Linked DNA regions of Rattus norvegicus. The protein of the gene in region 1 interacts with the protein of each later gene in a pairwise test. Links are inferred from orthologs where the notes say so. Each region holds a gene or a part of one and is shown on either strand. Other genes may lie near its edges. The genes, in order: Litaf, Reep6, Ubqln1, Stam2, Bag3 and Hip1.

The links.
Region 2: the proteins of Litaf (region 1) and Reep6 interact in binary tests that used the Homo sapiens proteins (3 or more experiments, as listed by UniProt). The two-hybrid records come from large-scale screens. The link is inferred for Rattus norvegicus from reciprocal best matches to the Homo sapiens genes LITAF and REEP6.
Region 3: the proteins of Litaf (region 1) and Ubqln1 interact in binary tests that used the Homo sapiens proteins (3 or more experiments, as listed by UniProt). The two-hybrid records come from large-scale screens. The link is inferred for Rattus norvegicus from reciprocal best matches to the Homo sapiens genes LITAF and UBQLN1.
Region 4: the proteins of Litaf (region 1) and Stam2 interact in a two-hybrid assay, tested with the Homo sapiens proteins (4 studies listed by BioGRID and IntAct). The two-hybrid records come from large-scale screens. The link is inferred for Rattus norvegicus from reciprocal best matches to the Homo sapiens genes LITAF and STAM2.
Region 5: the proteins of Litaf (region 1) and Bag3 interact in binary tests that used the Homo sapiens proteins (3 or more experiments, as listed by UniProt). The two-hybrid records come from large-scale screens. The link is inferred for Rattus norvegicus from reciprocal best matches to the Homo sapiens genes LITAF and BAG3.
Region 6: the proteins of Litaf (region 1) and Hip1 interact in binary tests that used the Homo sapiens proteins (3 or more experiments, as listed by UniProt). The link is inferred for Rattus norvegicus from reciprocal best matches to the Homo sapiens genes LITAF and HIP1.

The regions. Positions count from the first base shown.
Region 1 is NC_086028.1:5,161,864-5,166,057, forward strand, and holds the start of Litaf (lipopolysaccharide-induced tumor necrosis factor-alpha factor homolog), read left to right. Parts: upstream 1-1,394; 5' UTR 1,395-1,453; intron 1,454-4,194.
Region 2 is NC_086025.1:10,024,101-10,028,271, reverse strand, and holds the end of Reep6 (receptor expression-enhancing protein 6), read left to right. Parts: intron 1-333; coding exon 334-427; intron 428-518; coding exon 519-657; intron 658-898; coding exon 899-1,067; intron 1,068-1,634; coding exon 1,635-1,715; intron 1,716-2,170; coding exon 2,171-2,208; 3' UTR 2,209-3,671; downstream 3,672-4,171. UniProt on the Homo sapiens protein: Required for correct function and survival of retinal photoreceptors. Required for retinal development.
Region 3 is NC_086035.1:6,442,940-6,447,239, reverse strand, and holds the start of Ubqln1 (ubiquilin-1), read right to left. Parts: upstream 2,801-4,300; 5' UTR 2,635-2,800; coding exon 2,482-2,634; intron 1-2,481. UniProt on the Homo sapiens protein: Plays an important role in the regulation of different protein degradation mechanisms and pathways including ubiquitin-proteasome system (UPS), autophagy and endoplasmic reticulum-associated protein degradation (ERAD) pathway.
Region 4 is NC_086021.1:57,602,416-57,605,915, reverse strand, and holds part of Stam2 (signal transducing adapter molecule 2), read left to right. Parts: intron 1-2,181; coding exon 2,182-2,332; intron 2,333-3,500.
Region 5 is NC_086019.1:192,550,460-192,553,959, forward strand, and holds part of Bag3 (BAG family molecular chaperone regulator 3), read left to right. Parts: coding exon 1-51; intron 52-1,543; coding exon 1,544-1,945; intron 1,946-3,500. UniProt on the Homo sapiens protein: Co-chaperone and adapter protein that connects different classes of molecular chaperones including heat shock proteins 70 (HSP70s), e.g. HSPA1A/HSP70 or HSPA8/HSC70, and small heat shock proteins (sHSPs), e.g. HSPB8.
Region 6 is NC_086030.1:26,768,667-26,772,746, forward strand, and holds the start of Hip1 (huntingtin-interacting protein 1), read left to right. Parts: upstream 1-1,280; 5' UTR 1,281-1,388; coding exon 1,389-1,508; intron 1,509-1,514; exon of another isoform or gene 1,515-4,080. UniProt on the Homo sapiens protein: Plays a role in clathrin-mediated endocytosis and trafficking. Involved in regulating AMPA receptor trafficking in the central nervous system in an NMDA-dependent manner. Regulates presynaptic nerve terminal activity.

The DNA.
Region 1 (4,194 bases):
GGATCAGCACGTGAGGAACGCAATGGATGAGTCTCACCCTGGGAAAGCAATTGTATGACCAAATACCATATGTGGTATTTCCTCTGCCAGGCATACTCCTCTACACTTTTTGGTATAGAATCTCAGCTGAACCGAAGGTTCTCCAGTTCTGTAGGTTAGCCAGGAGCAACTGCAGAGATCTTCCTGCCTCCCCCATCCCAGCACTGAGATTACAGGCTTTAGGAGGCAAGGCCTAGCTGCTAAGGGTGGCCATTGAAGGTTAATCCTGTTCCTTGACTCTGATTACTCACTCTTCTCCACCCTGGTCTACTGTAATGTAAACAGCCCCTGCATAGCCTCAGCCATCACAATCTCAACAGCTTTGCCAGATCTTTCCCATAGAGATGGAGTGAAACCTTCTGACACTGACCCAAAATAAACCTTTCCCTCCTGAAGCCTTTTCTGTCTGCAATTGTGCTCACATTGAAGCCAAGGTATAAAATATAAGCCATGGCTTATATTTTACACACTTTATTTATTTATACACTTTTAGTCCCAGCACTAAGGAGACAGAAGCAGGCAGATCTCTGTGAGTTCAAGGCCAGGTGAGACTCTACTTCACATGCATGCTCGCGCGCACACACATACACACACACACACACACACACACACACACACACATACACACAGAGGCATGTATATTGTAAAAATGTTCTTTTTGTATATGTGTGGGATGGGTTCAGACTGGATCTCACTGTGTATCTGTGGCTGGCTTCAAACTTCTTGTGTCTCCCAGATTAGATTCAACTTTTTTGAGAAACTGTTCAGCCTTAAAAAGTTGCAGGCCTGTGGCACTCATTTATGGGGCACTGGGGGTGAACCCGGTTTTCATGCATGCTAATGCCAGCCCTCTACCAGCTGAGCTACATTCTGTCTAGTTTTTGGTTTCTTGAGACTGGTCTCACTATGAAAGCCTTAGCTTGGCTGGGACTCACTGTTTCAGATCAGGCTGACCCGGGATATAGGCTGTATCCCCTGTACTGTTCATGATGTAATTTGAATAGTAGACTTTCATCAGCTACATGACATACAATGTTGTTTCCCATTCTGTAGGTTCTCTTTATGCCTTGTTTTTTGGTAGGGGTGTAGTTGTGGCTGCTAGAAACAAAGAATAATCTTGCCCCTCCCTCTCCCAGGCCTCGCGGCTCTGGAGTCCGCCTCCTGACCGACCTTTTGGCCCCGCCTCCGTGCGCCCCGCCTCTCGCGAGCCCACTCAGGTCGCAGCTTCATCCCCAACCCTCCTGCCTCTAGACTGTCGCTCCGCCCCCCAGACCCCGCCCCATCTGGCTCGTCCCCCCTCAAGCTACGCCCCGAAACGTCCCCGCCCCCAGCTCGCCCTGCCTCCCCGGAGCCCTCCCGGCCCGCGCGCGCGGCCAGCGCAGACCTCCCGGCTCCACTGGCGGCGCGGGCGGCGGTAAGTGCGGCCCGGCTGGGTGCTCCCTGGGGAGCACCAGATTCGGGGCGCTGGGCACGGGGCGGCAACGGAAGCGGGGGTCGCGCTTTGACACCTGCCTAGAGTCCCGGGGCACCGCGCTGCCCTCGGGCGGCGAGCAGGGACGTCGTGGGAACCGGGGTGGCGCGCTCTGGGCGGGATTGAGGGCGAGGGGTTCCAGCAGTGCTCCGATTGTGTCTGGTTCTCAGGCCCGGACTACCCAGCTTCTATCCGAACCTCCCCGAATAATATCCCTCGGGCTTATAGGAAAAGACGCAGTTTTCTCTAAGTAACCTTTAGTATCTAAGTTGCGATTTGGAGAAGGATCCGGTGCGTACTCTGAAAGCAAAAGCGAATAGACAAAAAGTAGGAAAACTTTCCAGATGCTCTTTACTGTTCCCAGCCCACGCGTCTTTTGCTCTAAGCCCTGTGGGTTTCACACGGGTTCCCAGACGGGTGCGGGCGTATCGGAGTGGAGGGGAGCTGTATGACTGTGGAGTCTGGAGCCCAGGCGAAGGAGGACGTGGCCCCTGCCTGTCCTGCCACCCCAGTTCTTGGCTTCCCAGGTTCCCAGGTCACTGTAGGTCTGGACGGTGCGCCTGATCATTAGGTGTTGTGCCCACAGGTTTAAGAGGAAGAGGTGAGGGGAGCACGGGTGTGTTTTAGAAAGGCAAAGCTCCAATGATCAGGTCGTTTGGACATTCCCTACCTAATACTTCGTCGGATTTGTGCTTCCGGTTACTGGAGCTGATGTCATTCCCTGTTGGACTGAGCTCTAGTTGTTGGGAAATAGTTTGTGGAAGTCACGGGGCACTCTAAGCTCATCAGCTTCTTGCTGTTTTGAGACAAGGTCTTATGTAGCCCAGGCTGGCATCCCAACTGCATATGTAGCTGAGGCTGGTCTTGAACTCCTGGACTTTTTGCCTCCGCAGTGTTGAGATTACTGTGCCTCCGAGTCCTTCTCCAGCCTCCTTTGAATTAAACTGTTCTCTCCTGAGGATGGTGAGCTGGAGCCGGTCCGGAGACTCCTGGACTCCATATTGGACCTTCTCTTCTGCCCTCCGCTCCAGCCTCCTCAGATTGGCTCTTTTAAAGTAGAACTAATGCAGAGAGAGAGAGAGAGGCTGTAGGGAAAGGAGCTGAGTGGTATCAGTAATTCCTCCAGTGTTTGGCCTTATCAGTTGGATCTGGATCCAGAGGGCGTGTCACTTGTTCTGCCTGGCCTAGAATAACACCCATACTGCACCTGGCTCTCTTCTTAGCCAGTCCTTGCTCTGCCTTCTAAAGGTGTTCAGGCTAGCTTGGAAATATTTGTTGTAGATCTACTGTGGGAGAGGCCCATTGTCCTTCTTCCTGTACCACTAAAGGCATTAATAATGAATGGTTTTTTCCCTGCTTGAAAAAAAATATCCTTATGATATTTTACTGAATCAAGTGACCCAGAGATTGCTCTGAGATCCATCATCAGTGCCTTGAGTCTCTAAAATACTTCACTGAAGTAGCTTCCTGCCTTTGGCAGATACATTCCTTTGTCCTTCAATACTTTTATGACCTGGCCATAGGAGGGGAAAGGACTACCCCTTGTCCTTTGACAATGCTGGGAAAAAAAAAATGGCTCCTGGCCCTGAGTGGCTTATGTTATGGGTGAAAAGCAGGCATGCTGTTGAAAAGTTCAGAGCTTAGCTCAGAACCCCAGCTGAGGCAACTGGGAGATGTTCCTAGACAGGGAAGGTTGTACAGAAAAGCTTGTATCTGAGGACACCACACATAAGCAGAAAGATCTCAGCAAAGTTGCAGCCGAGGTATAGACTGGACTAGACCACAGTAAGAGGGAAACCTGAGATGAAGGAGCTGGCAAGGCAGTTCCTGCTTTCCTGCCTTAATTTAATCCAGTCATCCCTACTGGTCTCGGCATGGCCTCATGCCGCTGTGAGAATGGGCAGGACCCCTTACCCCATTTCAAATTCTCCTGCACATTTCCCTGAAGCTCCCATGGGGGTGGAAAGTAAGAGGAAGCCCTGGAGTCTTGGCACCAGTCACTTGTATTTTGTTTGTTTTGGCTTTCTGCTGCCATGAAAATAGCCCAGGGAGCCAGGTGGCTCATATCCACAGGTAAATAGACTCCGCTCTCTGTGTCTGTCTCTGTGGCCCATTTGGCCACCCATGGCTGACTCTGAACTTGAGTGGTGATTACCTGCTGTGGAATTGGAGTTTGAGGTCAAGTGCTGCTTTCCTCATAACTTTCTTTTTCTTGAGCATTCACTGACAGACTGGACAGTGATGACAGCATTAGACTCATTGAGATTGTCACTTGACTACAGATCTTTGAGAACTGTGTGTCATTTTATTAGGTTTGTAGACAAGAAGGCCCCTGTCTCAGCATCCTAAAAGTCACATCCAAAATGCCTTCAACAAAAGACATGTTAGTGATAGAAAGTGTAACAGGTCTACGAGCCTTCACATATGAAGACCAAAGACCTTGAGACACTGTTTCTACACAGATGGTAGGGCTGAAGCAAGTCTGTCTGCTCAGTCTTTTTTGGCCCTCTATAAGTGTTATTCTCCTGAGGATGGGCAGGACTCCAAGGTTTTAACAACTAGGATCAGGAGAGAAAGAGCGAGAGAGCGAGAGAGCAAGCGAGCGAGCGAGCGAGCGAGAGAGAGAGAGAGAGCCTTTCCCTTCCCTCTTCTTCTTTTTAAAGCATGTGTATGGGGAAGGGAGA
Region 2 (4,171 bases), on another chromosome or scaffold:
GTTTCAAAAAAAACTCCAAACAAAACAAAATGCCCAAGACAGTCAATGTGGCAGAACACGCCTCCAATCTCAGCACTCGGGAGGCAGAGGCAGGCAGATCTCCATGACTTTGAAGCCAACCAGAACTGCATTCATTGTGAAACCCTGTCTTGAGGAGGAGGAGGAAGAAGAGGAGGAAAAAGGCTGAATTTGTGATCCAAAACTGAGACCTGGGTGTGAAGCCAGGGTTCAGTGATAGGGATTCACTGCCCAGGGCATCACCAGGAAGAGGCACAGGGAGCTGTCAGATAGGTGCTGTGTGCCAGGCCTTGCCCAACGCTCTTGTCTTTGCAGGAGCCCTCACCCTTCTAGGCCTGTATCTTCTGTTCGGCTACGGGGCGTCTCTACTTTGCAATGTCATCGGATTTGTATACCCCGCATATGCTTCGTGAGTGCAGCAGGCAGTCCACAGGGTGGGGGGCTTCTGGTGTTCCCAGATGGCACCTTGAGGGCAGACACGTGCATTCCTACCTGGACAGAGTCAAAGCTATCGAGAGCCCAAACAAGGAAGACGACACTGTGTGGCTAACCTACTGGGTGGTGTACGCCCTGTTCGGTCTAGTCGAGTTCTTCAGCGATCTACTCCTGTTCTGGTTCCCTTTCTACTACGCGGGCAAGGTGGGTAGTCGGGCCAGCCCTGGGGGCAGGGGGCAGGCAAGGGGGAGAGGTGGGCTAGTCCTGGGGGAAGGGGGGGCATAGGTGCCCTGTTTGACCCTGTGGTGTGTCCCTTTGTGTAGGGCAGGGCCCTGTGGGTGACAGCATGCTGTCCTCATGCATGGGGCCGGGCCCTGTGGTGACAGCATGCTGTCCCCATGCGTGGGGCCGGACCCTGTGGTGACAGCTCCATGTCCCTATGCAGTGCGCCTTCCTATTATTTTGCATGACACCCGGGCCCTGGAACGGGGCATTGCTACTGTATCATCGCGTCATAAGACCTCTGTTTCTAAAGCACCACGTGGCTCTAGACAGCGCCGCGAGCCAGCTAAGCGGAAGAGCATTGGACATAGCAGCTGGGATAACCAGGGACGGTAAGTACATGGGGCAGATGCCCACGGGGCTTGGTTTGGATACTGTATTTGTTTTGTTTCCCCCCCCTACCTTTTTTTTTTTTTTTTTACATTTTGTTCTGCTTTGTTCTTTTGAGACAAGGTCTCACTATGTAACCCTGGCTGGCTAGGAACTCGCTTTATAGACCAGGCTGGCCTTAAACTCATAAAGATCCACCTCTCTAAGCCTCTCTCTGGAGAGCTAGGATTAAGGGCCCCACACATGGCTAATTAGGTTATTTTGAGACAAAGGACTTCAAATAGCTCAGGCTACCCCCCTCCTCACAAGGGTGGTCTTTTGTTCCTGACCTTCCTGCCGCTACCTCCTGGGTGCCGGGATGGCACTATCAGGCCGCCTTAGCTTGCTCCTGGGTCTCGATTGACCCTCTGTCTGTCTGTCCCCATGATTGAATTTGCCTATCTGTCCCTTTACCTGTTGCGAGCCTCCTGACTCTGGCTACATTCCTTGTCTTGCGTCTCGACCAACCCCTGCATGGCTCCACTATCCTCTTACTGTCCGCCTCTCTCTCCTTGGCTGTCGGGAACCAGTGCTACAGGCCTTGGCTCGGGGTCGGACTCTCGTAACCCCAGCATCAGCATCGGAGTCCCCAGCCGCTCTGGAACCGGACCGTATGTAATCCTCTGAAGGGATTGTATAGGGCACATTCACTCAGTGTGCATGTGGTGTGATTGTCTGCATGTGTGTGTACGTACGAGCACGGCGAATGCCAACCTGGGTGTGTGTCTGCATATGTGCGTGTACGGGGGCCTCTGGACAAGCGTGTCCCATGAGGAGCAGAGTTGCAGGCCTATGTTCAGATGTCCTCAAAGTGGGGGCAAGCTTGCCTGCAGAGCAGAGCTGACACCACATTCTTTTTTTTTTCTTTTTTTTTTTCTTTTTTTCGGAGCTGGGGACCGAACCCAGGGCCTTGCACTTGCTAGGCAAGTGCTCTACCACTGAGCTAAATCCCCAGCCCCCTGACACCACATTCTTACCAGCTCTCCCTCAGAGACTTGGTGGGAGGGCCCCCAGCCAACCTCAGCTGCCCTCACATACCTACACCGGCGATCTTTTCTCTCCACAGCCAAGTCAAGTCAGACCACACTCCTGAAGCACAAGTGAGGTCTGCTGGCAGTCTGTGTGTAGAGCCCCCAACCACTGACAAGGAACACATAGCCGATGATGGCCAGATCTCTGACAGTTCCTCAGACTCCCAGATAGAGGAGACACAGCCACAACCGCAGCCACAGCTACAGCCGCAACCACAGCCACAGCCGCAACCTCAACCACAACCTCAACCTCAACCTCAACCTCAACCTCAACAACCACAACAACCACAACCGCAACAACCACAACCGCAACAACCACAACCGCAACCACAACCACAACCACAACCACAACCACAACCACAACCACAACCACAACCACAACCACAACCACGCCGACCCTCAAGTCCAAGTAAACCATTAGGAAGCCCTTCACGGGCCACAAATGGGCAGTCCCCGTCCCCAGTCAGCCCAGGCTCTGCGTCTGCGTCCCGGGGTCAGCTGGCCACTGGTTCTTTCGTCATCGGCTCCCAGTTTCCCAGCAAGACCCGGACCCATCGAAGCCGGGGCAGTTTGACTCCCAGGGCCGCACAGCGCGCCCGGCTGCCCAGTGGAACACTGGGGTCCATTCAGCTGCCCATGCGCTCTGTTGCTGCCCCACAGTCAGCAGGCCGGTCCTTGGGACCCAGCCGGACAACAGGCCGCCACACAGGAACAAACCAGCAGACCCCCCAGGTCTCCACGGCAGGCCCAGGCCGAGCGGCAGCCGCGGTGGCGGCAGCGCCAGCCCCAGCCCCAGCAGCCCCAGCAGCCCCAGCAGCCCCAGCAGCCCCAGCAGCGCCAGTGCCAGCGCCAGCAGCCACATCTGTACCCACTCCCACACAGCGTGTCAGTGTGTCTGTCCAGGGCTCACCTAGGGTCCCGTCTCCCTGCACATCCCCTGACCTCAACCAGGGGGCCGGCAAGGCTCCGGTTGAGTCAGGGAATGCAGGTCCCAAGATCGGCAAGCGTAACCAGAAGACACAGGCGGCTGGCAGCACCTCTGTGCCCGAGCTGTTGGTCCCCTGTCACTCTGACACCTCTCTGGATTATTTGTCCGAGTCCACCACGGAGATCACCTGCAAATGGCCAGACTACGGTCACCAGCTGCGCTGCCCTAGACACTGCTGGCTCCTGCCACACCTGGCATACTAACGCCACGCCTGGACACCCGTGGGCCATGAGACCGCAAGAGACACCTACCCAGGGGAGCCACAAGAAGCACTAGACCTCCGGAGCACCATACAAGAGCCACGTTGAATAACTGCCCGTCGTGCAAATAGTTTAAACATCTGCCACAATGCCACATGAAACACCCACCAGCCAGGCCATCACACGTCAAACCTGCCCGTGGACTCCCGGGTGAGACACCAACCACGAAGCCCCATGTGAAACACCCTCAACAAAACATCCATCAAGGTGCATGTGAAACACCATCCGGGGTCCCCCATGTAACATCTATCCTCCGCGGCACGCAATAAAATCACCCGCTCAGGCTCACCGAGTGTGTCCAACTATCTGGTCAGGCCCCAAGGAAACTGAGGCAGAGGAAAGCAGGTCACCTACCCTGGGTCCTGCTAAAGGGGCCAAGACACAAGCACACCCAGGCAGGAAACCTATGTCTTCCCTTCCTGAGACAGAAATTTCGTAGCTAGCCCAGGCTGGCCCAGAACATATGCTCTCCCATCTCAGCTGCCAAGTTCTGACTTCACAGCATGGCATCCCTCTGCCTGGGGAAAAAATAGAGTATTAGTGTTTACTCCAGGTAGAAAGGGCACCACAGGCCAAAGACAAGTGGTGTGGCAGGTCTGCCTGTGAGGTAGAGCTTACTGGGGTCACCCACAGGAGCAGGAGTGACTCAGGCAGGAAGTCTCCGTGAACAGGTCACCCCAGCATGGGTGACCAGGCCTCTCCCCGTTATTGTTCAGAGACCGGAGAGGTTTCTTGGGATTTTCTAAGAGTTGTTTTTTTTTTTTTTTTTTCTTTTTTTCGGAGCTGGG
Region 3 (4,300 bases), on another chromosome or scaffold:
TGGGGGGACAGGGTATGCTTTCAACTTTTATCACATTTACTGCTCCCACAGGAAACAGATAAACCAACATTAGAATAAGTTACTTTAGGAAAGCTTTACTTTTACCCAGTAAAGACATTTTTACAGCACAGCAAAACATAAGCTTCCACGGAATTTAAAATTCTAGTGTCACTATTCCCCACTCCCCCAAAAAAACCCTATAGATAATCACCTAAATAATTTTTCTATTTATAAAGTATTATTTCTAATGTCCTGAAATAAAATGTGGAAGCTGCCAGGAAGATGGAAATCTAAACTGGGACTCTCAGGAAGACTCAAGAGCTTCATAATTTAGTATGTCCACACATTCATTACTCGGTTACAATGTAAAAAAAAAAAAAACCAGGGCTGGAGAGATGGCTCAGTGGTTAAGAGCACTGACTGCACTTCCAGAGGTCCTGAGTTCAAATCCCAGCAACCACATGGTGGCTCACAACCATCTGTAATGGGATCTGGTGCCTTCTTCTGGTGTGTCTGAAGACAACTACAGTGTACTCACACACACTAAATAAATCTTTAAAAAGAAAAGAAAAAGAAAAAACCCTATTCGTACCAAATATTAACAAGGAGACAGAAGGAAGGAGCACACACCCATATGATGTAGACTGAACTGCAAAATAGCACATTTTTCATGTTTCTTATAAAACTAAACAGAACTGGCAGAGCATGGTGGTGAATGCCTTTAATACCAACACTCAGATGAGTAAGGCAGATGAATTTGAAGCCAGTCTGGTCTACACAGTGTGAGTTCCAGGATAGCCAAACTTCCAGAGTGAAAGCCTGTCTTTTAAATAAAAACAAAAGCAACTAAACAATAACAGAGCATATGGCCTCAAAAAGGACTCCTGAGGCTCTTCACAAGAACTGCAGCTGAAAACAGATGACCCTGGGCAGGTGACGGCACATTCATGGTGTGGAAAACCACTCAGCAGTTAAGTACTGAGCTGAGGACTTGGTTCAGTGGTAGAATGAAGCCTGTGCCTAGTATGCAAATCTCTGTCGTGGGAGGGATACAGACCTCACTGGGATGAATCTCAAAAACTATGCTGAGTGGAGGAAGAAAAAAAGCCTTATCCAGAAGACCACATGAGAGACAACTAGGTCTCTGTGAACTCAATCTTGTAGGAAAAACAATCCTTACAGGGGTGACAAAAAGAGGAACGGAAGGAAGCCTGTAGTTCACTCTAACAGGCTCCACTATGGCCTGCTTGGCTGACACAGGTGTAGATGGAGCTGGGGAAACCAGCCAAGGCAACCATGTCCGTATCACTGCGCCTCTCATCATGTGGAATACCATTTTTCAAAGACGTTGTTCTCAAGCCACTAATATTTATGTGGCTTACCTTCCTTATAAGGGTAATACTGATATTTGCAGTATTTTTAATAGTAAGTGTATTTTAGAAGTAAGAGATGCCCAATACAGAAAACGCAGGAAAATGTCAATTGTGGGTGACGGACACACCTGCTGGAAAACATAAAGACGGTAAACTTTTTTTTATAGCAGCGTTAACGCACAAGGAATGATGCTTCAGTCAACCAGAGTTTCTCTCAATGTGCCACACATCCTCTTGCTTCAGAAAAGAAACCGACTTCACCTTTGGAACTAGATAAGCCTTGAGAGAACTTACAGGTACATTCCAGTGGCTGTTCCCTGCTTCCTCGCATAAAACTGTTTACAATGTTTGATACTGTCAACAATTCAAATGCTCTAGACCGTGTTGAAAACTACATTTGATAGGTTCTACCAAGGCTCTTAATTAGCTGCAAGATTTGTTTTCCTGAATAGACTTTAAGGCAATTATCGGCCTTAACATCAACCATGTTTCCTTGCGGTCCGTTGCAACCGCTAAGACCCAGTCAGGTGTCTTCTCATCTCCCTAAAAAAATCAAACAAAAACCTATCCAATGAGTGGCAGCTAAGCGATGACGGAAGTATTGTTCACAGAAGCAGCAAGTCGCCTATGAATCAAAAAGTCATTTACTTTTTTCCTTTCAGGCGTGAGCTAGTACAGTGTGACTGAAAACAAGTTCCGCGTCATAATTTTTATAATAAAAGGCTGAAAGGTGGGGGAGAGTTCAGCATTCAAAACCGAGAACTAGCCCTCCACGTGCTTCTCGCCCCCAAACCTCTCCAATTCCCAGGCAGGTAAAACAATGACCCCCACCCAGCCTGGTCAAAGGCCGAGCGACGCCCGCGCCCTGCCTCCCAGCAGCTCCCGGCTCCTTTGTGAGGACTGGGGTCCCGGGGCCCGGAGCTCGGCGGCTGCGGCGCAGCCCAGCCCAGGCCGCGCGGCTCACTCGTCCCGGCCCCGCACAGCTCACGCAGCGGAACCCGGCGGGACCTGACCGGAGCTCCCCGGGGCCGCCGCCCGGCCAGGCCGCCCCTTCGCCGCCCTCCCCGCCCCGCCGGCGACGCAGCGACCGCCTGGCCCGCGCCCTCACCTGCTGGACCGAGCTGTTCTCGGGCACAGCGAACTCTTCCTTCTCTTTAGGCGTCTTCACCGTGACCTTCATGATCTTGGGCTCTGCGGGGCCGCTGTCGGCCGCACTGTCCTGAGCGCCCGGTGGGCCGCCGCTCTCTGCGCTCTCGGCCATGGCGGTGACTCAGGCGAGCGCGACACTGGGGGCTGCGGCCGGGTCCGCGGGGCGCGACAGGTTGCGGGGCCACCGACGGTGCGTAGACGCGGGCTGCGGGTGCAGGCCCCGGTGGGCGATCGGCTGCCGTGTGGACGCGGGGACTCTCCGCGTCGCCGCCGCTTCCTCCTCCCGCACCTCCCCCACGCTCGTCGCCGGGCGCCGCGCGGGGCACGCTGGGTAACGCGCTGGCCGCGGCGCCGACTCCTGGCGGCCGGCTGCGCGAGGCACGCCGGGTAGCGCGTTGGCGAAGGAGCCGACTCATGGCCTGGCGGCGCTCGTTCCTTTCTTAGCCGGCGGACGAAGCGCGGGCTCCTCCAGGTCGAAGGAGCGCTGGGCACAGCGGGGGAACTTAACCCACTTCGCGTCTCCCGTTCTTCTTTGAAAGGCATTTAAACAGGGGTTTCATGGAAGACGCCATGATGGTGCACTAAGATGACGTCACGGGCAGCGAAATTGCTAGAAACGTCTGGCCCTTTGCTCTCGGTCCCGGTATCCTCCCGACCTGGTCCCCGTGGGCGTTGGCTTATAAAATAGCGGCGAGTTACTTTATTTTAATAAGCGTAGTGTTTGCCCGGGTGGAAGGAGTTACGATTGCCTTGTCTTGTGCTCAGGGCTTGGAAGCTAAGCCAATGGTGAAAGGTCTTCAAAGGAACACGAAACAGACGCCAGTGAGCCACCAGCGCAACCGCAGGCGCTCACTGTTTCAATGAGGCCAGAGCTTCCCTCCATGGAGTCAAACAGGTTTGGTCAGAAGACAGGACAACCCATATTGTCTGTCTTCCAAGCTGCGTGGGGGCAGAAACAGAATGCCTAGGACTGTCCACCCAACGGGTAGGAGTTAAGCCCAGCTGATGTGTGCCTTTTGTATTCTGTCCCATTACGTTACTGTGCAGCTCGCATCAGGGATAATGGTTGAAAACTTATTTTCAGCATAATGTAGGCACAAATAAGTCATTCACAAGTGACTCCCACATCCTTTATTCGCAAAGATAGCATGTAATACAGTCCGGCACTTTGTTAATCAACATTGCACAAACGTGAACTCTGACAGTGTACCGTGACCCTAATATGCAAAGACATTCCATAGTTCTGCTCTTAGGCCATCAAACCCTGTTCTATGATTAACTACTGTTGCATAAACACTTCTTAGCAGAGCCCTTTGAAATCTGGGTCAGAGTTTCGAAGGTAAATGGCGACCCAAGTGTCACTTGATATCACTTACATTTCTGTCAGCGTTGTTCGATCACAGGAAGAAGTTACAAGCTTTATGTCTAGGTGTGAGAAAATTGTTAGTTCTTGGGGTAGAAAGTTCCACCACTGAGCAAGCAAGCATTTTGGAATTTTCTCATGTTTATATATATAAAATCTCCTTCCAACTTCATTAGTTCCTCTGTTGACTGGTTTTCCTTCCTGCTGTATTCTCCCTGTGTACTTCCCTAGGCTGCCTTCTATGATGACATCCCCCCCTTCCGCCCCCCTCACACCTTTCCCTGCCTAACTTTCTGTGATCTCACATCATATCCCCCACCTCCTGGAAGTCTTCATTCTGTTGCCCTTTAGAAACCCGATCTCTTTACTCTAATACAGCGGCTGTAGATAACCTTTACTGATGTTTGTATGGAAT
Region 4 (3,500 bases), on another chromosome or scaffold:
ACAAAACTGAAATAATCAGTGGTAGATTGGTCATAGTTTTAGATAGATCATAGTTTTGGAGAACATATCCCACACCTACTTATACATCTGCTACTAATGATTAGTGAGTAATCACACTGGGAAAGTTGAGAAAAAAATAACTAGTTTGCCATACGTGTGGCTGGCAATATTAGTACGCATTTCCCTAGGCCTAAAAATATTCTTTACCCAAACCATTTGAAATGCGTACTAAATCTAGGGAGCTATACAGTGACCAGATGTTGTGATATTAAACACAATGCTATTTATGACCATAAATATGCAGCTAACTAAAATGTCTTTCAGTGTTCTGTGTCTTATAGTAGAAATTAATTGCCATTGAAAAATACTTTCTGATATGGAATGATGTCATATATATAGTGGAAGATAGAACAGCATAACATTACTTTCATTAATAAGAAGAATTTACTAAAGAAGAATGTCTAAAGGAATTAAAACTCAGAGTGCCCATTTCTGAAGTCAGTTACCTTTGAGTGAGAGCTGGCTGTCCATCTGTGAGTCTGTGAGCCAGGGTCAGTGTTTCATAGCAGAGGGGACATTGCAGCCTCTAGGGCTTTATAGTCTCATGGACTGTTTGCTCCTGCCACGAATTCAAAGATAAATATAAATCATTTTTCCTTGAATAAATCAGCAACAGTTTGCTATTTCTATAAGGGATGGGAATGAGAGTTAAAGTGCCTTGTTAGAAAGTTAAATTGTACATTTCACTTTGTCATCACAAAGCATGAGCTCTCATACTGCCCTCCAGTTCTGACTTACCAGACTATTGTAATCTGATTTTCTACTGCTTTCCCCATTAGGTTGGCCTTTCACTCCTCCCCTGTATCCTGGTTGTCCATTTGCCTACCTTTCTTTTACCATCTGGCCGACCTGACCTGGTCATTGTTTCTACCTTTCCTGTCCATCTTTCCTCAGGACGAACTTGAGCCCTGGTCTTGTCTCTGCTGTCTCCAGCTCCCGTTAACCTCTAAGTTCTCTGTCCTTTCCCCACTCCTTAGAAGTTTGCACTTGGTTATGTGTTACTTCATTTGCTGGTTTTTCTTTTGTGCTCTTGACCTTGTCTTCCAAGGAGAAGCGCCTCAGCTGTCCTTGCTTGCTCTGGTGTAGTCCTGAGTGTGATTCCCTGAAGGCTTGCCTTTGCTTGGGGTTGTCAGTCTTGCAGGATGGTCTTATGCATGCGCTCGTGGCCGTCCGCTGTTGTGTCAGTGTCTCTGCAGTACGCTGGGTTACGTAGGCCACATCACGCTGTTACTGCGTACACCTGACTTCTGTAGGTTTAAGTGCTTTGCAGCAGTTAGATAGTTTGCCTGCTTGTGGTCATGGCACGAGAAGAGACAGCACCTGTTAGTTGGCTCAAATAGCATGTTAATGAAGGAGAGACTGCTATTTGTGTGTTGGGCAGTTTATTCGGCTTCTCATCTCTCTTGTTCACACTGAATCACATCCAGTATACACTTACAGATGATTAATACCACACAAAAAGTAGCCATTTAACTTACACCGTCATTCATCACCCCCAGGGGAATGGGCAGAGTTGTACCATCAGGGTGCATTTCCTGGGTGGATAATGCTTATCTGGATTTGTTGTTGTCTAATGCTGTGCCTAGTTTTGTTTACTTCCCCAAAGTAATGAAGTAAACAGAGTAGCCCAACTTGTGTATATGTTGGTTTTACTTGTGTTTCCTTGATTTTAGTTTGTCCTGTCCTGGACCTGAGTAAGGCGTGTATGCTTTTCTCCCATTTTGCTCTTACTGCAGTCACAGTATACCTCACAGGGGCTCCGGGTCTTCATCTACATACTGTACTGTGTTAGTGGGGTTTATAATCAAGGCATAGACTTTTACTGAAACATAGACTATTTTTCTTTGTAATTAAAATTTTGACATAAATCTATAATGTATTAAGTTAAATTCTAGCACCCAAATTATGAATTGATTGCAATTTATGAGGTGTAGATCTGCCTTTTCTGTATTATTAGGAAGATGGACCAGTCTGTTGATGGAATTCAAGTTTCTCCTCTCAGTTTTCCTTTGGGGATGCCCTTTCATTGCATATAAAAAGAGCCTTCTGAGGTATGAACAAAAATGTGTACTAAACTTGAACGGTCTTCACGTTACTTTGAAAATACTTGTCTTGCATCAGGAGGCACTCAGAGCTGTCGGAGCTGAACGTAAAGGTGCTGGAGGCCCTGGAGCTGTACAACAAATTGGTCAATGAAGCGCCCATGTACTCAGTCTATTCGAAGCTCCACCCGGCTCCTTACTCAGCCACAGCAGCTGGGGTTCCAGTGCAGGTGAGCATTGCTCTTGAGAAGTAGTCATGGTTTTAAAAAAATTAAATGTTTTAAGAGCATAATGCTAAGGGCAAGATAAGGCCCCAGGGACCTGCTGCCCACGAGTAAAATTATAAAACTAGGGCTGGAAAGATGTGAAGAGATGGCTTAGCCATTAAAGATTAGGCTCACAACCAAAAAACAAAAAAACAAACAAAACAAAAAACCAATGTTCAAAACAGTGTATGTTCCTTCTTCACTGTGAGAAAGTACCTGAGGAGAGTCAGCTAAAAGGAGGAAGGTTGTTTGGCTGGTCTAGTGATCTCAGGCGTCTCAGTTCATAGTCAGCTGGCTCCACTGTCCTCAGCCCAAAAGAGCACTCCATCCCCAGGGCAGGTGGGAGGCAGAATAGTGCAGGTCTGAGGGCAAGATAAGGCCCCAGGGACCTGCTTTCTCCAGCAAGTCCTTACCTTCTCACAGCACGCTCTACCATGCACTCACTAACGGGCGGATTCATGGGTAAAGTTAGCTCTCGCTCACCAAGTTCTTGAAATCCAGACTTCCAGCACACAAGCCTCTGGTGTGTGGGGGTGGGAGGGGATCTCCATATCTGCAGACCTTGGCACTGAACTTTGATGGTTTCAGAAGTATTGTTTGAACAGTGTTAGCCATAAAGATTAAATATGATATTTCACAAATTCATTCCAGTTTATTTTTAACACATTGAAAAGACTGTGCCTGGTTCTTTTTATGCCTCTGTAAGGAAGTAAGTATGTATGGGGTATAAGTCTTCTTTGTAGATGTAAGTCCTGGGCTGGAGACATGGCTCAGCCGTTAAAGGCTAGGCTCACAACCAAAAATGTACATGTAAGTCCTGTTTTATCAAGCACGAATTTCTCTCATATATACACACACACACATAATTTTTAATTTTATGTACCCTAAAGTGTTGTCTGGATATATGTCTGTATGAGGGTGTCAGATCTCCTGGGAAGGAGTTACATACAGTTGTGAGCTGCCATGTGGGTGCTAGGCATTGTACTTGTGTCCTCTGAAAGAGCAGCATTTTCTTAGACTCACGCCTTAACGTCTGTGTAATGAAGCTTTGCTCTGGGCTGTGAGATGTAGTTGCCAGAAGCTGCCCATTAGCAACATTGCTTTCCCACTACTTAGCATGGTTTTGTGCCTC
Region 5 (3,500 bases), on another chromosome or scaffold:
CAGGTGCCGGCAGCTGCAACAGCCCAGCCCCCGACTGCCCACGGACCTGAGGTAAGAGACCCAGTTCATGCTGGGCCAGAAACCGACCTGGTAGTACACGGGGTTCACGGCCTGCAGCCTCAGGGGTTCTTGCTGCAGAGATGGTTGGCAGCCTCACATGGTCCCTGTATCTTACACCTGTAGGTGTAAGATTTTTTTCAGATGGCCAGAGAGCACATGACTTATTTTTGTAGTAGAAGAATTGGCACCAACAGGGTAACTGAGTGACCAAAGTGCATAGAGGTAGAGGCCTCACAGCTTGGAGCAACTGCCTGGCTTCCTATATCAGTGTTCCTATGCACACTGGGCTCTCTGCTTCAGAGAGAGCTGAGTTACTCTGGTCCCTTCAGATGGACAGCAACCATTTGGACCTATGCTGGGAATGAAATCAGGGTGCCATAGATCTCTGTCTTCAGGTGTGCCGTTAAAGGGAATCCAGCATTAAGTCAGAAGGGCAACAGCTTTAGGCTTGAACCCTGACGTTTGCCATTTTGAGGTTTGTTACTAGTGAAAGTGTGTTGCTCACTCGGTTCTGAGCTGAGGTTGTGGCCAACAGACTGGGTAGGGTTGCTAAGTAGTTATGCCTTCCTTTTTCGTCGTCGTCCTCTCGGCAGCTCGTCCCCTGGGTCACTGGCATTGTTCTTGAGGATGAGTCCACATTTCCTGCCTGCGTCAGAGTCCTGATTGTTTTTGACCTCTACTTGTGTTCACTTTCACTGTAGTTAATGTGGGATACTGGAAATCTCTCTCCTTTCTTGGAGATGTGTTTCCTATGTAGGTAATGTTTCTCCAGTACAAGTCAAAACAACACATCGGTCAGAGATCTTAGAAAATGTAAGCCAACAAGGCCGTTAGTGGGGAACCACCTAGGCAGCCATCTTCCTCACCTTCTAGGTGACTAGAAGATAGATCAGAAGAGCAAGGGACCTGGCCTGCACCCAGACACAGGCAGCTCCCAGATGCTTCACTGCATTCTCCAATGAGAGGTTAAGCGGAAAGGAGACATTCAGTAACAACAAACAGACCCAGCGGCCCACACCCTTCCTGTGCACGCCGCTGCCTGCCAACGCACAGGCACAGAGCATCCAGTTAATCCTCAGAGCAACCCATGAGGTGGGCAGGCAGGCTGTCCTTTCCCCATATTTCAGGCAAGGTGCCGAGAACTGTCGAGCTTCCAAGTATTTAAACCCTGGCCCTTTTATTTCAGAGCTCTGGGAGCCTTGTGTATGCTGGGCAGGTGCTCTCCCAATGTCCCAGTGTTCTTAATACTCTATTTGTTAAGTAGAGTGTGCTGGAGAGTGAAACCAGGGTCTCAAGCACACTGAGCACTTGCTCCCTCCCTCACAGAAGTCCACACAGCCCTTATCCTCACACTTTGAAAATGTGTGGCTTTGGGCTTTGGGGATGTGTTGTCCTGGCCAGGTGGTGTCTGGAATATTTGGAGTGCCAGGGCAGCAGGGTCATTCATTCATGGCACCGTGCCTCTGCCCTTTGTCTCTTGCAGCGATCTCAGTCTCCAGCTGCCTCTGACTGCTCATCCTCGTCCTCCTCGGCCAGCCTGCCGTCCTCTGGCAGGAGCAGTCTGGGTAGCCATCAGCTCCCCAGGGGTTACATACCCATCCCCGTGATACATGAGCAGAACATCACCCGGCCAGCAGCCCAGCCCTCCTTCCACCAAGCCCAGAAGACCCACTACCCAGCTCAGCAGGGTGAATACCAGCCCCAGCAGCCTGTGTACCACAAGATCCAGGGGGACGACTGGGAGCCCCGGCCTCTTCGGGCCACATCTCCATTCAGGTCACCTGTCAGAGGTGCATCCAGCCGGGAGGGCTCTCCAGCCAGAAGCGGCACACCGGTTCACTGCCCATCACCCATCCGTGTGCACACGGTGGTTGACAGGCCTCAGGTACGGAGAGTCATGGTTCACAGAAACACAGGTGGCTGAGGCAAGCCGAGAGGTTCTGCAGATGCCCTGGGATTCCTCAAAGCCCTGCCTTGTCAGCATAGCACAACTAGAGACAAATGGAATTCTAGAAGCTGCTGGTCTTTGATGCTCAGGGACAGAGGGGGAGGGAGAGCCTATGGTAAGGCTGTCACTCAGTGCTATCACTCTCACCTCTATGGCCATGTTCCTTAGTGTGCACCACACCTTTCCTCTCCCCATCCCCCCCAACACATACTCTAACCACACTGTGCACTTCAGTTTAAGAGGGGCATTGTTTCTCTTTCTCTATTTCTGTTCTACAAGCCATTCTCTTGATCCCTCTGGGGCATTTGCTCAGGCTGGACCTGTTCTATAAAATAAAAGACCAGTGCAGTCCCCCATCCCTTTGCCTTCTAAGGGATGCCCACCTAGTCTCTCCTCTAAAAGCAACTCCTTTCCCTTCATGCCTTGCACGAGTTCCTTCGGGTTCAGTCCGTGATTATCTTGTGCAATCCAGATGGTCCTCTTATCTCATAAGCTCCGAGCCTGACAGCAAGGGACCTTGTCTGAGACATTCCCCTTTTGCAGTAGGGTATTGTGGTCCTTGGCCACATTGGTGGACAGTAGTGGAAAGCCATTGTGGTCTGGTGGACATCATGGTCACGGCCCTGCGCATCCTCCAGTGAAGCTAGAGATGTTACTGAAACCAGACACCTGCAGCTCAGAGACAGGAAAGGACACTCACTCCCGGCTGTAACATTGAGCAGCTGAATTACTCCTTATCACGGTTTTAAAAGTGAACTCTCCCTATGAGATATTTCCAAAGATCCAAATGTAGAATGTCTTTCTCTTACAGTGATATTATCTCAGTCCTGGAAACAGGAAATCCTCAACTTTTGTTTGTTTTTGCATGCATTGTGCATATGTGTCTGTGATACATGTTTTGTGCATGTACACGCACATCCTTATGAAGGCCCATGGTCAATGGGAGTCTTTCTTGATCTGTCACCACCTTTTACACTGAAGCAGGGTCTCTCACTTGAACCCAGTGCTTGCCGGTACAACTAGTCTACCCAGCTGGCTAGCTTGCTTCGGGGGATATCTTTTTTTTTAATATTTTTTTTTATTCATTTATCATATATAAGTACACTGTAGCTGTCTTCAGATACACCAGAAGAGGGCATTGGATCTCTTTACAGATGGTTGTGAGCCACCATGTGGTTGCTGAGAATTGAACTCAGGACCTCTGGAAGAGTAGTCGGGTGCTCTTAACCGCTGAGCCATCTCTCCAGCCCCTTCGGGGAATATCTTATCTCTGCTTCCTGAGTGCTGGGCTTACAGGTGGACTGCCACACCCATGCATCTGTCCTGTGTGCCCTGGAGGTCCAAACTCTGGCCGTCACTCACGTGTTTGACCTGCTGAGTCATCTCCCCTGCACTGTCTTTAGCTTTTCTATTTGGAAACAATTTCAGCCTTTCTGAAGAGCTGTAAGACTCGTATGAAGAAGTCCCATGTGCCCTTCACCCGAGTTCACTG
Region 6 (4,080 bases), on another chromosome or scaffold:
ACTGTCTTTAAAGCGTCCCACTGGTGTGATCGCTCAGGTAAGTTGCTACTAAGCCTACGACCCACGTCAGCTCTCTGGGATCCACATGGTAGGGAACAGAATCTTGTTTGCTTTCTGACCTCCACAGGTGCACTGCCGCGTGAGCACAGTCCCACACATACACACAGGTACATAATTCACACACATTAACAAAAGCCAAGCATCGTGGTCCACGGAGATTCGAGGGACTCGGCTATATAATGAGTTTGATGCTGTCATTCATTAATCAAAACATTGCCTAGTACAAGTGAGACGTGTACTGGGTTCTTGAACAGATAGATGAATAGCATCATCAATTTTTTTAAATTCTTAACGGTGCCACTGGTTCTGTTAGTAGAGAACGTGTAACATTTTCTTTGCTGAGGAGCACACGTCCCAGTCTGTAGATGCTCCCAGAACAGGATGGGAGGAGTGGACCCTGCTATAGATAAACAAGGAGCATCTGTTGGGGTTTCTACCAAGGTAAGGGAAAGCTCTGGGGAGATACCCGCAGTCAAAGTCCAGTACTTGGGGACCCGGGTCGGCGATCCTCCAGAACTGGCAGATAGGAATGCACGGGGAGGAGACTTCGAGAGCCACTAAGGCCGCCATCGCCGGACCACACTGATGCGGAGTTCCCCGGCAAGCCTGGTGAAAGCGGTGCAGCCATGCTTCCCTTGATCTGCCTTTCCGTCCCCCTCGGGAACTCGTGGCGCCGGCTGGACGGCAGCTCTTCGAGCTCAGCAACCCGCAGCAGAGAAGGGCCCAGGAGGTGGCGCTTCGAGATAGGGTGGAGTCTCAAGGGCTGGTCTGTAGCAGCCAGGCCCTGCCCCATTAAGATGACGGACAAGCCTTCAGAGCAATCATGGTGCTCTTTTGGTCCTGTAGGGTGGGAACAAAGGAGGAGTGACGGATGTAGGGTGGAGCAGCAAAAAAATGGTGAGGGCAGCTCACGAAGCCAGCCCTGCTGTGTTGACAGATAACTCTTCAGACCAATGACAGTGCATTTCTAGGCCTGGAAGGCGGTGTATCGATCATGGGGCGGAGCCTCGGGGAGGGAGCAAGAGCCCACCAGGTCCTGCCCACAGAAGTTAACGGACAAACCTTCAGACCAGTCATAGCATGCCGACCGCTCTGAGGCGGGCCAGCCGGTGAAGTGAGCGGAGCGCCTCCGAAGTGGGAAAAGGGATGTGGGGAAAAGCCTCTTGGAGAGATGGGGTGGGTCCTGAGGGAGATGGACAGCGCTGTCAACCAATGGAAGACGTAATCTGTCCCCGTTAGCGCCGGATCCCCGCGGGTAGGGAGGGGCGGGAGGCGCCGCGGGGATCCCGGGGCGGCCGAGGGCCCCTGACTCTGTTCACCCAGACAACATGGACCGGATGGCCAGCTCCATGAAGCAGGTACCCAACCCGCTGCCCAAAGTGTTGAGCCGGCGCGGGGTTGGTGCTGGGATGGAGGCTGCGGAGCGCGAGAGCTTCGAGCGGACTCAGGTGAGATTCGAGAACCCTGGGGCATCCCTGGGGGCACCTGGAGTGATGCAGGGTGCTAGAGAGGCTTGGAACGGAGTGAGTCTTGCAGTCCCGGGAGGGAATTAGGCAAGGTGGCTGCGATCAGAATCATTTTGGGGTGCGGAACTAGGCGGGTCCCAGGGAGGTCCGGGACCTGGGCATCCCTACTGGCACGGGGGTCGGGGTGTACTCCGGGGAACTGCAGATTCCTGCAACTGAGAGAATAGCCTCGGCGAGCACCATCAGAGGTCACAAGGGAGGCCAAAGGGAGTCGAAAAGGGACTGATGGAAGGGGTGCTCCTGGGTAGGGGAAGCACTTGGAAGTCACTCGGTTTTTGCAAGTGTGGGGACACCAACGTAGAGGTGTAAAGGGTGGCTCTGATCGCTTTACTTTAGTATTGACTTCTTCCTTCATTCCCCAGCATCTCGTTCAACGGTGCCTCTAACTTGGCTCTCAGCAGCCCCAGCTGTTGGCCTCAGAGGCTGCGCCAAAGGGGTCTGAGTGATGGGAGGGACCGTAGGAAATGTGAAGTGTGGTCCAACTTGGAAAATGACCCCCGGGGGTTTGGAGAAATGGGGACGCGTGTAGGAATTGCGACGCTTGGACTGTCAGACCCTCGCGTGTCGGGTTAAGCTCTCCAGTGATACATAGAATCCTGATTTGCGGTTTTCCTTTCACCCTCCAAAATATGCCTGACAGCTACTAAGCAGACCGCCTGCCTTGTCTGGTCTGACCAGGGCAGATGGCCAAAATTCCACCGCGGTTATCAACAAAAAGCCACTATCCACTTTTATCTCAAGCTTTTATGCATGCTGTATCGATCGGACCGAGTCAAGTAGTGAGGCGCTGGGTGTGTAGTTACCAATTCATCTGTATGTAAAATCTGAGAGTACAACCCTTCGGATCCCACTGCGGAAGCTGGGCCCGTAGATTTCTTGTTCTCCTCTGGCTCTCCAAGTTCTACTTTGAAGATCGAGTTGACTTCAGCCAGAGGCAGCTCCCCTGTGGTGTTCTGTGAGTAGAAAAGGTGGAAGAGATAGGAGAGCCCGTGAGTTCTATAAATGGACGGTGCACGGAAGACAGCCTTTTCACCCCAGGGGACTTTAATCCACCTCTTGTTTCTGAGACCCCTGGATCCACTTCTTGTGTCTGGGGGAAAAAAGGGGTAGTTGTACCCGGGGAGGAGGAGAACCGGCATTCACTTACCTCTCAATGTCTAAGGGTTTTTGGAACTTTTTTAATTTCTCAGATCTTCTGAACTTTGGGCATTGCTGCCAAAAGGAAAAAGAAAGTTTTCATCTTCTCCCCGCTACAAACCTCTTTTATTTTTAAACTGAAAGAGGAAAATAAGCCGGAGCTATTTTGTGACATCCAACCGTCTGAGAATCTCTGATAGCTTAAAACTGGAGCAGTAAGTTAGACATAAAAGTTTGAGCTTGGGGTTGGGGATTTAGCTCAGTGGTAGAGCGCTTGCCTAGCAAGCGCAAGGCCCTGGGTTCAGTCGTCAGCTCCAAAAAAACAAAGACAAAACAAAACAAAAGTTTGAGCTTAGGCCCAGTGGAGCTGGCTAAGGGGCCACCTGCGTTTCATGCCAGGGAAGGAGCCATGTTGCCCTCTGACTTCAGTTTTGAGCTGCGCCATGAACACCCCTCCATACACACACACCCAAAATTACATTAAGAGTGTTTTTGAAAGTTTGAAATTAATAGACAGTGATAGAAATTAGGCATTTGAGGGGTTGGGGATTTGGCTCAGTGGTAGAGCGCTTGCCTAGGAAGCACAAGGTCCTGGGTTCAATCCCCAGCCCCGAAAAAAAAAGAAAAGAAAAAAAAAAAAAGAAAGAAATTAGGCATTTGAAATGTTTCCAGCCACAACTAACATTTTTCCTAGTTACCCAGGGAATACTCAACAGGAAGACTGGTAGGTCAGTGTCTAATTTTACCTTCGTAGAACACTTGTTATTAGTCAGATTTGGTGTGTGTGTGTGTGTGTGTGTGTGTGTGTGTGTGTGCATGTGTGCACACGCATTGAGATATACTACAGCAGAGTTTTTCAGTTATGGAAACTCCTCCCTCCCCTTTTTTTCTTTTCTTTTTGATTTTTACAGATAGGGTTTCTCTGTATAACAGCTCTGGCTGACCCGGAACTCACTTTGTAGATCAGGCTAGCCTCAGACTCACAATGGTCTGCCTGCCTCTGCCTCCCAAGTGCTGAGGGTTTTTTTTTTTTTAATTTTTTGTTTGTTTTGTTATTGTTGCTTTTGTTTTATTTGAGTGAGGATCTTACTGTGTTGCTCAGGCTAGCCTGGAACTCAGCTATGTAGACCAGGCTGGCCCTCAAACTTTCATCTCCCTGCCTTGGCCTCCCTAGTGCTCAGATTACTGGCATGAGGCAGCACAATCCAACTGAGTTGTTGAAATTCTCTCAAGCTGGCAGGCATGGTGGGACACTTTGACAATCCCAGCACTCAGGAGGCAGAGGCAGGAGGATCCTTGCCAGTGTGGTCTCCATAGCAGATTCCAGGCTAACCATGCCTATACATAGGGAGACCCT